Linked DNA regions of Diceros bicornis minor. The protein of the gene in region 2 binds, or shares a complex with, the protein of the main gene of each other region. Links are inferred from orthologs where the notes say so. Each region holds a gene or a part of one and is shown on either strand. Other genes may lie near its edges.

Region 1 (6,188 bases), on a different chromosome or scaffold from region 2:
TTTTTTTTTTCCCCCACAAAGCCCCAGTAGATAGTTGTAGGTCATAGCTGCACATCCTTCTAGTTGCTGTATGTGGGACGCGGCCTCAGCATGGCCGGAGAAGCAGTGCGTCGGTGCACGCCCGGGATCCAAACCCAGGCCGCCAGCAGCGGAGCGTGAGCACTTAACCGCTAAGCCACGGGGCCGGCCCCTCCTTTTTTTTTTTTCTTAAAGGAAAACTTAATCTTGAAGTAACAGTACGTAATCAAACCTAAATTTTCCAGTTTAGTAGACTGTTATCTGCCTTTGTTTTAGAACATTTTATTTACAAGATACTTTTGTGATTTATAAACTAGAATAAAGAAATCTTAAAAAAAACAAAAAAGAGTTCATGAATTTCCTTGTAACATCAAGTCCTAGTCATCAGGTATTGGGAGTTTTTAAAATATTAAAATAAAAAAGATGCGTGACTACATGACGAGTGTGGGGAAATGCCACGGCAACTCGCCTGAGGTAACCCTCCACCTGCTGTCAGTGACTGGTCCTCACTGATCTTCCTACCCAGAGATTACACACAAAAAGTTCGAATTTTTTAAGACAAGATGAAAAAAATAAAGACATATTCCTGCTTTCAAAAAATCTTGTTTTTGAAGGTTCAGGTTCATCTTCCAGTCAGAAGTCCGGGACGTGGTTGCACAATGGAGGGAAAAACCTGGGCAAACACTCCGATATGCGATACCCTCCTGGATCACTGAAAACGCACCTGCCCTTTTCTTCTCATACCAATACATGGCCTCCCAAAATTTGTTTCTATTTTCTAGCAATAGAGCCAACATTTTATGAAGTTCAAGAGTTAGAGAGACTGTGAGAAAATTAATGGTCTTAAAAATGTTTTCCCAGTTATCCTGTCATACTGCAAAATGCATAAGATCTTTATAAACAAGGTATTCCTTTTTCTTAAAATAACTTTACATTCTGGCTTGATACTAGCAATCTGACAGGAAGACTCTTACATCACAGCCTGAGATCACACGAAAGGCTCAATATAAAAATCTTCAAATGCTTGATAACTCAGTATAATATCCTAAACACTGAGTTTGAAAGTCTTTGTTTCTTTTTTTTTTGTTTTTAACAATTTATTTATTTATTTATTTTCCCCCCAAAGCCCCAGTAGATAGTTGTATGTCATAGCTGCACATCCTTCTAGTTGCTGTATGTGGGACGCGGCCTCAGCATGGCTGGAGAAGCGGTGCCTCAGTGCACGCCCGGGATCCGAACCCGGGCCGCCAGCAGTGGATCTCGAGCACTTAACCGCTAAGCCACGGGGCCGGGCCTTTGTTTCTTAATAGTCTTATAAAATGCAGTAACAGAAAAACGAATGCTTTTCTTTTACCCAAGCCTTATATTATCTCATTTAACTGAGATGCCCTGTTTCACCTGTCTGCAACTGATAACATAGTACAGAATCCAACTGGGCCCAGTCTACTGTCCATACTCTACGCCCTCCCCCAAAATCATATTACTAAGACGAAAATAATTACAAACTCATCTTTTGAGCATAGAACCAAGATGCTTTAGTTCAAAGCAATCTTTTTTATTATAATGGTTTTAAAAAATTCACATTGATTCTAATACCAACATGATAAAAGTAATGAAATGTAAAATGAGTATACCTGTTCCTAGAGTTAAAAAAAGAAAAGAAAGGAAAATGTATCAAGTCTAAACAAGGCGTTTTACTTCTTGACTAGAACAGGAATCCTTTCTGTTGGAGATTCAGAAAAGAACTCAGAATGAAGCACGAGATTCCCAGGCCCCCTTTCTGGCCAGTTTTGGCTCTGAAGTAGTACACCAGCGAGGTCTTACAGCAGGCCTGGTTCAGGTAACTCCTCTGTTCTGTTACTGGCAGACCTGAAACCAGTAAGAGCGATCCCTCTGGTGCTTTTCCTGCACACACACTTTAAGAGCTCTTAGCTACAGCAGTTTCTCATCTAACTGATCTTGGCATTCATCTGTTTTCCTTATGCAAACTGCATTTCCCTTTCCACAAACATTCAAGCTTTATCGTCTAATCTATTTACAAATTCTTCACTAGAAGGCATTAAAACCAAAGTGCTCTGAAATGGGCAAAGGTCTTAGACATTTCTCCAAAGATACATACAATGGCCAGCAAGCACATGAAAAGATACTCAACATTAGTAGTCATTAAGGAAATGTACATCAAAACCACAGTGAGCTACCACTTCACACTCACCAGGATGGCTAACGTCAACAACAAAATACAAAATCCCAGAAAATAATAAGTGTTGACAAGCATGTGCAGAAATTGGAACCTTCATACATTGCTTGTAGAAATGTAAAATGGTGCAGCCATCTGGAAAAGAGTTTATCAGTTTCTGAGAGTTAGTTATCATATGCCCCTGCAATTCGACTCCTAGGTATAAACCTTAGAGAACTGAAAACATAACATTCACGTAAAAAGTCCTACACAAGTATTCCTGGCAGCATTGTTCATAATAACCAAAAAGTGGAAAGAATCCAAATGCCCATCAATGATGAATGGATAAACAAAATGTGCTAAATCCATACGATGGAATATTATTCAGCCATAAAAAGGAATACATGCCACACCATGGATGAACTTGAAAACATTATGCTAAGTGAAAGAAGGCAAAAAGCAAAGGCCACATATTCTAAGACTCCATATATACGAAGTGCCCAGAATAGGCAAACCCATAGAGACAGAATGTAGATTAGTGCTTGCTGGGGCGGGGGGAAGGGAAATGGGGAGTGACTGCTTAATGGACACTTAGGTTTCTTTTGGGGGTAATGAAATATTCTGTAGTTAGTGATGGTTGTGCAACACTATGAATATACTAAAAAGCACTAAATTGTACACTTTAAAATGGTTACAGTGAATTTTATCTAAAACACTCCCCCCCCAAGTGTCCCTAACTGTATATTTTTAAGTACCTCAATTGAGAAAGTCCCTTACTTGGAAGAAGATTAACACTGAGCTCCCCATAGGTATGACTGTCAAGTCACTTCAGAGATTCTTCCTCGGGGCCCATGGTAACCCAAGTCCTGTCTCTATCACAACAAACTCGTGGAAGTTATTCAGAATAATACTAAACACATACACACCTTTTCTTCATTTTAGGCAGCTTCTTAGATTTATTTGAGATTTCTCAGGCTTGTTCATATTGAGGAAAAAATTTCCAGAAAACAAATCCAGTTAATACACACCCAACACTTCACTGTGAATAAGTGTTAGGTATTGACAGGCTACTCAGGCCAGGAAGAGCGACGCAAGAATCATTATTCCCATTTTGTACCCGCGCAAACTACGTCTGCAAACAAGTTAAGCTGCCCCTGTTCAGAGTTCATCGAGCTTAAAAGAGAAAAAGACTATTTCCTACCGCTAGTTACAACTTTCCAATGTATTTACTTTTAAAAACGCATATAGCAGACTGCTCTGCGCCCAGCACTGTTTTCAACATTTACAACAAGCACTCCGTCCTTCTCACCCTCGGAAACGGATACTCCTGCGGCACGGCGCAGCACCGTCACCTGCCCAAAGTCACAGAGCTGGTCGTCCGTGTAGAGAAGACACGAGGAGAATCCAAGTGCTGGGACCCAAGACTGCTCACCTTCCCAGGGCTTCCCAGCACGCAACGACACCCAGGTTTGGCCATCAGCTTTAATTTAACGAGGCCCTCCGTCCTCGGGCCCGTATAACGGGAGCGGAAGGGCCCGAGGAAAACGCGACGGTGACCGGCGCGCTCCAGGCCACCAGCGGCACCGCCGGCGCCGAGGCTCACGACACACCCCCGTTCCCCACCCTCCGGAGGGCCCGCTGAGCGCGGGCCGGGGCCGAGCGGCGATTTTCCCGGGAAGCGGAGGCCCGCGGGGCCGGGCGGCACCACGCGCCGCTGCAGGTGCGCGAGCGAAGCGCGGGGACCCCCGGGGCAGCTCAGCACGGGCGGGGGCGCTGAGAGCCGCAGCAGGGCCGGGAGGAAGGCGAGGCCGGCCCCTTACCTCCTCCGGAGCTGAAGCCATGGCCGGGCTGGGTCACGCGAGGCCGGGGCTGCAGACGCACCAGGGAGAGCAGGAAACGCCGCCCCGAGCGCGCTCCGCCGAGCGCAGACCGCGGGCACGAGTCGCAGGGCTCGCAGCCTGTGCGCACACCCGACCCTGCGCGAGACCGCGGCCCGCCTCCCGCACGCGGCGCCTCTGGAACCTTCGCGAGCCCGTCGCCGCGCTTCCCCGCCCCCCGAGCGCCGCCCGCTGAGCTCAGCCCCGCCCAGCCGAGCCTGGCCCGCTCCGCCCGCCGAACCTCGTAGCAACGCTCAACTCTCGCGAGCAAACTGACAGTTCGAGAAGAGTAACGCCTCTTCCTCTCCGCCCCGGGAACTGAACGTTTAATACTTTGACCCCGTTTGCCCCGGCTGCGCAGTCGCAGCTCGGAACCACTGCCTTCCGTACCTTAACCCCACCCCGGAAGTAACGTACCGATCTTCGGGGTCCAAATCGGAAGTTGCCTAGAGAGGCGGCTGCTTCCGTCCCCTCTAGGACACCGGGCCAACGAGGCAGGCATTTTTGTCTGGGGGTAGTCTGTGAGCCTTTGCGAGGAAAGGACGAAATAAGGGGGAGCATGGGCAGCCTATTTATTTTAAAACGGGAACGAACGAGGACGTTAAGTGTGGGGGCTCCTTTGGTTTTTCAGTGGGTTCTGGCGCTCTGGAGACATCACCACGATTTAGCATCTGCGACGTGGCGGCGTCATCAAGGGCTGCGCTGGGAGGTGGGGTTGAGTTCGCTACGTGACCGGACCCCATGTCGCAGCCGAGGGTTAAGGTTTCCCGTACGAGGCGCCTCGCCCTCCGACGGTTATTGTGCTTCCGCCTTTCCCTCGTGACTGTCGAAGCCCCTCCCTGGTGCCTTCGCCCTCTTGACCAACTGTTCTGCGAGTCTCTGGTTCTCACCCGGGTTTGGATTCGTTTTAAGTGAGCCTGTTAGCATCAGAGAAAATGTGGGTTGAGTTTTCCCGGGCCTGCATTCTGCCCCCCTTCTGGTTCCAGCAGCCCCGCTTAGTAAGGCCCCTGAGAAACCCACTTTTCGGACCATTTTAGCCTTTTGCAGCCTCATGATTTCTGCAACATGGTTGAGAACATAAACAGTAATCTCTGAGAAGTCAGATAGCCTGCACTCAGCTTTATGTGTCACGCAAGATAGCGAGTAGGATCAGCAAGTCAGAGAAGGAAAAAGGCTACTAGGAAAATGCAGACTGACCGTTATCGTAGTAAAGAGGAATCAGAAGTACAGTACGAAAATAGTCAAATTACAGCCACACACAACGTGCCTGAATCTCACAAACATGACGTTCAAGGAAAGAAGCCAGACATAGAAAAGTACATATCGTTTGGTTCCATTTAAATGAAGTCTAAAAACAGTAAAACTAGCCTAGAGTGTTAAAAATCAGGATAGTCCTTCCTGGGGTGGGGAGGACCATGATAGAAAGGAGCCGCGAGGGAGCTTTTGAGGTTCAGATAATGTTCTGTTTCTTGAGTTGGATGCTGGTTACAGGTGTGTTCACTTTGTAGAAATTTCATTGTGCTGTAAACTTACATTTGTGTAGTTCCTTTTGTATGTTATGCTTAACTACAAGTTATTTAAGTAGGCCCAGGAGGGAATTTTCCCGAGATGATAGAAATGTTACACACACATACAGTTGTCAAAATTCATAGAATGAACTCCTAAGATCTGTGCTTTTATTGTATATTATATGTCAGTTTTTTAAAAAATGTCCACCGGAAAGCTTGGAATTATTTAGGTACTTAATAGGAACAAATATCCCATTGCACTGTGTGAAAGCTTGACCTAATGCAGTGATTTTGAAATTTGCTTGATTATGCACCTGGGGCAACTCCTCCCCCCACATATCCTAAAGTCATGAGATATGAAATACTGTTTATTATCCAGTGACTCCTGAATCTATATCTTCAGCTCCACTATGCTTCTGAGCTCCAGACTTGGCTTCTGCTTGGATGTAGAATGAGGAAATTCAGCTTGTCTAAAAAACAAAAAAAACTCCTCCTCCCAATTTTTCATCCTCGCACCCCAAATCAGTTCCTCCAATTCTTCTCCAGCTCTGTGCCTAGTCAGCTCGTGCTCGTTAACTGCTCATGCCAAGGAGTCATAAGTCTCAGTCT
Region 2 (6,188 bases):
TTGCCATTTTCTGCAAAAAGCTGTGCAATGCTGGTATCAAAGACTAGGCAGTCACTATTCATAATGGCTGTTGCAATTCCCTCATGAATAGATCGAGGAGTTGCTTCCCAAGTCAATCGCCGCCTATGACCATTTAGCTCAAGTCGATAAGCAAAATTTTCAGCTTGTTTGCGTGTTCCTATCAGCTGTACAATTGCAAAGAACTGCTGGTGACCATCGTATTTTTCCTGTTTCTCCAAGACTAACATGAAGTGAAAGCCAAAACAGGACTGCATCATCACCCAGTCAACAGCACCAGGAAGATTAATGTCTGTAGCAAGGAAAACTATATCCTCTCCCTGCAGGGTTGTAATGGATTTATGCTGATGCATCAGGTGGGGCATCACAGCATCCAAAGAGCCTTGCCATTTACAGGAAGCACCAGGGCACGGACAGGAATAAGGCCTAAACTCACAGAGCTCCTCGTGGTCTGCTTTTTCTGTGTGTGGCAGAGTTATTTCACATCCAGAAGAGGCATATTTACAAGGGAAAAGTACTGAATTGGCCACCTTCTCCATAGCCAAGTTGCGAATGGATCCCAATGGGCCCCGGCAAGTTGGACAACATGTGAGCTTTGGGCGACAGTTGCTACAAACGAGATGGCCACTCTGACATTGAAGAATGGGTGGTAACACATAGTCAAAGCAGACCGGACACTCAAAAAGACTCGCCAAGTCATTGTTGGACGCAGTTGTGCCAGTCAGGGCAGGCACCCTCTGGGACGGTGTACACTTTGAGGTTCCAGTAGGTAATGCTGTTGCAGTCTGACGGCTCATTTCTGTAATAAAAACATGAATAAAAATAAAAGGAGGCAGGAGAAAAATAATTACAACTATAACTTATTTTATAAATAATGTTTACATGCCAGAAATACTGAAGCTCCATGCAAAATTTACTGTGAGCAAAAGAATAAAGGAAAATAAATAGGTTAAAAAACATATAAATGACATAAAATATACATTTTGATTATTAGGAGTTGTACACTGGATAAAATCTCTTTTCAAAATGTTCCAGAACACATTTAGAATTCCCTTTCTTAAAAAAATGTTAAAAATTGTCCCTGGATGGACTACATGGAATAAATGCTGAAAGAGAAACTGGACCAGAAACAACTAAGCTTAAGTTCAATCAAGTCAATTTTGATTGGACTTTCTCCTCCCTGTGTTCAATTTCCCTACTCAGTCTATTTCTTTCCCATTCTGTGTCAGCTGTTGAAAGCTACAGGGCCTTGTAAGTGATCCAAAGGATCCCCAGGGAGTTGACTTTGATTAATTCCTCTTAATGGTGAACAGTTATCTGCTCTAGAGGCATATTTGGGGAATGGAGGGCATCGCAAGGGGAAGGGCCTGCTGCCATCCTCCATCTTCATCCTCTAGCTCCTTAACATTAGCTGGGTATTAATCTTGTTTCCTACTGATCAGTACCTCCCTCAAAAGAGGGACAAGAGAAATGGAGGGCCATCCTCAAAGTTTTTAGTCTGGTACTTAGAGAAAGTAAATCATTCTAGTCTACTTCCATTCCATTAATATAAATCAGATATAATTTGCAAAGGAGAAGGAAAGCAAGGAAAAGAAGGTAAATAAGGAAGACAGGGGCCAGCCCTGTGGCATAGTGGTTAAGTTCACGCACTCCACTTCAGCAGCCAGGGTTCGCAGGTTCCGATCCCAGGCCTGAATCTACACACTGCTCATCAAGCCATGCTGTGGTCGTGTCCCATATACAAAATAGAGGAAAATGGGCACGGATGATAGCTCAGCAACAATCTTCCTCAAGCAAAAAAAGAGGAAGATTGGTAACAGACGCTAGCTCAGGGCAAATCTTCCTCAAGAAGGAAAAAAAAAGAATAAATATAAAAGCACCAGACACACACTCACAACATTGGAGCTCAGGGAAAGAGTCAACAGCTAAAGAATTCCTTGTACCCTAGAGTTCACCAATGTTGCTGGAGCGTTCATCAGCACAGTAATAAACATTATTATTTAAGAGAGAAATGTCATCTGGAAGGAATGATCAACAATGTAACTAACTTGTCAGACTGAAGGAAAGATGACACAAGCACCTTTTCCCAGGAATCTACCTTTGCTGGGATACGGCAGGCCACTGTTTATCTGGGGGGTGACAAAAGAGCAGTCGATGTCCAGGAGTGTACTCCCAGTAACTATATAAGCCATATTTCCACAAAATTAAAATTTAATGCCTCAAATTTAATGTTTTCTCAATTATAATTGTTATTCTGTTTCAAAGAATTTAACTTTCAAAAAACAATGCTGGTTACCAATGTGACCATGTAAATACAATCTGAGTTCTAGATTACTCAAGGATACACACCTTAAATGGGGGTTGAGGATGCAAAGAGAAAAAAAAGATAAATTCCACTCTCTCTAAAGTTCAAAGGGAAACAAAAGTACAGCAGAATTCCACCATAATGTAGCTCATCACATGGAGCACACGAATCAGTTCCCATCATCGAAGCCCTGTACACCACAGGTGTCCTAGCCCAACAAAGAGACTATAAAGGTACTCTCTTGTAATCCAGCTTCCCCCTGAGGAGATTCTTTGTGCATATGATGATCCATCATTTTAGGTCACTTGTAAAACAATGGGTCAGCATTGCCCAAACGCCCTGTATGTATGCTGTATGTCTATTTCATGGTCCATTTTATGCTGCTCACTGAAGTGAGCAAACATAATAAATGGAAAGTGGCTCCTTGAGCACAAAACAGTCTAAGCCACCAATGCCTTTCAAATCACTAAACCAAAACAGCTAATCACATGGAGGGGCAGTAAACTCAGTTTGTAATCAAATCAACATAATGTAACTTACTAAGCAAGAAAAACACTTTAATTTCTTGACCTAGCAAAACAGTTATATGTTTATCATCAATAGTTCAGGCTCATGTTACAATGTATCTTTCTTATTTTTCCAAACATTCTAGAAAGCACAATTTAAATTCCTATTCAAAGTGTGAAAACAAGTGACATGTAGCCAATATTTCTTGTGAATGGAGGTATTACAAGAGAGCAGCTGCTAAAACCTCCCAAAGCTCCAGAGGTGGGAACCTAGCTCCATCTTCAAACAGAAAAAGAATCCCAACCACACAGCAGCCCTGCAGTAGGAACCAAGGACTCAAGTGTCTTTGGACAACCCTGCAGAAGTCATGACATAACGTGAAATTTGATTTAAACTGAGAAAAGTACAGCAGATCAAAAGAAACGTCACTGTGAGCTCAATTATGCTGCAGCTATTCCCTGATCCAGTCAGATTCCCCTGGCTTACAACAACTTTGTCCCGTTTCACAGTTTAAGCAACCAGTCTCTCTCTCTTTTTTTTTTTTTTGTGAGGAAGATCAGCCCTGTGCTAACATCTGCCAATCCTCCTCTTTGTTTGCTGAGGAAGACTGGCCCTGGGCTAACATCCGTGCCCATCTTCCTTATGGGACGCCACCACAGCATGGCCTGCCAAGCAGTGCCTCGGTGTGGGATCCGACCCGGTGAACTCCGGGCCTCGGCAGCGGAGCGCGGGCGCTGAACCCCTTGCGCCACCGGGCGGGCCCCAACCAGTCTCTTAATGTCAATACCTTTTCTCTTCCTTGTCCCAGCTGCTGGTAAACAAGTGAGCAAGATGCCCCTCCAGGAGCACAGAAAAGGTAAGGCAGACTTCCCGGACTTCCCGGTCATTGGAAATCGGGCAACTCATAGCCGCTGCCCCAGAAGCAAAGACAATCTGTAACAGAGGCCCTTCCTGGACACCTTCCTAAGCATGTCCGCTGCCAAGAAGCGACGGTCAGGGCCCTGCTCCAGACACTCCATTCACTCTGCAGAAGCACGGGCTACGGAGGCAAAGACAGAGGAGTCGACCACACCTTCCCGGGAGCTCAAATTTGCCTGCGTCTCCAAAAATGGGAGCCATCGCTGAGCTATCCTCTGCTGGGCCCTAAACCTCGGTCTGTCTTGGAAGTCTGTCGTCCCCAGATTCATCAGCTAGGCTCCGGCCAGCTCTGGTGAAGGACGCGGCTGCAGAGTGTGCGGCGGCGGGGGGAGGAGGCGCGCTCTCCGAGGCGGCTCTGGAGCTACTGCAGGGTCCGGCCCGCCAGGAGGTCCGTTTGGAGCGGGAGCTGGAGCCGGGTCGCAACTGGGAAGGCCTGCTCCAACCGGGAGCGCCAGCCGGCCTCACTGCGGCGCCCAAGGCACTGCCGCCCGCCCGGCGCGGGGCGGGGCCGGCGGGAGGGGCAGGGCTCAGGGGCCAGCAAGCTCCACCCCACCGGCCCAGCGCAGCACCCGGGCCCCACCTTGTGCGACTCCCACCCAGCGGGGCAAAACCCCTACCCCAGCGACATTGTGCACGCCTCAGCATTCCACCAGCATACATTTAGGACGAAACATGCCATTTTTGAAGGCCGAAATAGTCGGATATCGGCAATTGCGTACGGTTTCAACCCAAGAACTACAGAGAGTCTAGGAAACATGTGGCCACACAAGCGCTCTTCTCTGCACTATACCCTGCTGATAAACCGTGCGAACTCTTAACTTTTTATAGAGTAAAAGCATTCTCCCCACTTCATTCAGTAACTATTTACGGGGCGTCAACTACTGTATTTCCTCAATTCTAACTCACTTTTCCATTTCTACCCGTCGGCACCATATTTTAAACTCCCCTTCTCTCCGAAAAGACTTTGCAGTGAGAGAAGTAAACACACATAACCATATTAAACTCCTACTTTAACCTCCAAATTGAGATTATATTCTCTCTCTGGGAAAGCCATCTTAAATGGCCTCATTAAATAGAGCAGCTTGTTTTGTTTTTAAACAAGCAATACCCTTGCCCCAATCAAATCCTGGGTCTCAGATTTGCATCGCCTCAGCTAGTGCATTCAGAGGTTTAACTCGTCATGACATCATGCTTAGGGCAGCCTTTAAACGCAGCAAGAGCTGGTGTGGGGAGTGAGCCCAGTGCAGGAAACTGTAGATTACCCACTTTCAGTATCAAATTTTAACTCTAATCACATCCCCACCCTATTAATAGTTTGTTCAATCACCTTGACCTCATCTTAATATTAGGCTACACAAAGTATCATTAGGAATAGAAATATAATTGAAAACAGATACAGTCTGTCCATTGACAAATATAAACTACTATCACCTACGTTTTTATTTTCTAATACATATTCATTCTAGATGTGCCTCTGGTTTCTAGCGCAGGAGACTTCAAATGTTTTAGGCAGAGAAATTCTTTCCAAAGAGAATTAAGACAGAAGCCACATGCATAAAACAAGGGGGGATAACTGATTCCTCGAGCAAAAAAATATTTCATTTTTTCCCAGACTTTCAAAGGGTCAGCACAGAGCCTTACAGCACCGTCTGAAAATCATTAATCTATGGACAAACCTCTCAACTTACCAAAAGTGAGTCAGGACGGTAAAAGTGCGGGTGTTCTAGAGTCATCTACACTTGGATTCAAACCCAGTCTTCACCACCTCCTCAGCTTTAAAACTGGCACAATATTTCCCGCCTCCCGTGGCTTTTGTCTGGATTAAGGGAGATGGGTAATTTATGTATATCATAGGTGGTACATACTCCAAAATAAGTAAGTATTCACCTGAGACCTCTGAAAGTTTCCTGCTCTGCCTGAGGTCATCAACTACTTAGAGAGCTAGAACTTGTGGGTTCCAGATACACACTCTAAAAAATGCCTTGAGCTTGTACAAATGATCAAACATGTCTGCCAAAGATCAACTGCCATTTACCTAATTTTTAGCATAATAAACCTTAACAGAATTTCTCGACTAGATAGAAATTTACTTACACTGGTTTTACAAAGAGCTGAAAATTTCACAAAAACTACATTACATTAAGACAAGCCCATAGATCCCAAAGTTAGCAAAAACTCAAATTTTGGCAAGAGTGTACCATTATCTACACTTTCTAAAGCCTACATCTCAAGCCCAGTTTGGTATAAAGTTTAAATAGATTTTAATCTAAATCAAAACATTTTAGAATCAGCCTTTAACGTTGTCTTAGTAATTTCAGAGCATTTAACCATGCTTTGCCACATTAATATACTTAACAGTAGAAGGAGATGGACTTATAAACTTTTATTCTCAATTTCATGTGAGAACCTTTGCTTCCTTTCATAAATGACTGATGAAGAA

The links. Proteins that work in one complex are often made in the same cells at the same time.
Region 1: the proteins of SIAH1 (region 2) and CACYBP are in contact, whole or in part, in a crystal structure (PDB 2A25), measured with the Homo sapiens proteins. The link is inferred for Diceros bicornis minor from reciprocal best matches to the Homo sapiens genes SIAH1 and CACYBP. Residues at the interface, in NP_003022.3 of Homo sapiens: Leu158, Gln159, Asp162, Ile163, Val164, Phe165, Leu166, Ala167, Thr168, Val176, Asp177, Trp178, Val179, Met180, Asn276; in NP_055227.1 of Homo sapiens: Lys59, Pro60, Ala61, Ala62, Val63, Val64, Ala65, Pro66, Ile67.

The regions. Positions count from the first base shown.
Region 1 is NC_080743.1:91,512,460-91,518,647, forward strand, and holds the start of CACYBP (calcyclin-binding protein), read right to left. Parts: upstream 4,182-6,188; 5' UTR 4,036-4,181; coding exon 4,015-4,035; intron 3,170-4,014; exon of another isoform or gene 3,121-3,169; intron 1-3,120. UniProt on the Homo sapiens protein: May be involved in calcium-dependent ubiquitination and subsequent proteasomal degradation of target proteins. Probably serves as a molecular bridge in ubiquitin E3 complexes. Participates in the ubiquitin-mediated degradation of beta-catenin (CTNNB1).
Region 2 is NC_080771.1:2,321,154-2,327,341, forward strand, and holds the start of SIAH1 (E3 ubiquitin-protein ligase SIAH1), read right to left. Parts: upstream 4,229-6,188; 5' UTR 3,718-4,228; coding exon 3,618-3,717; intron 818-3,617; coding exon 1-817. UniProt on the Homo sapiens protein: E3 ubiquitin-protein ligase that mediates ubiquitination and subsequent proteasomal degradation of target proteins.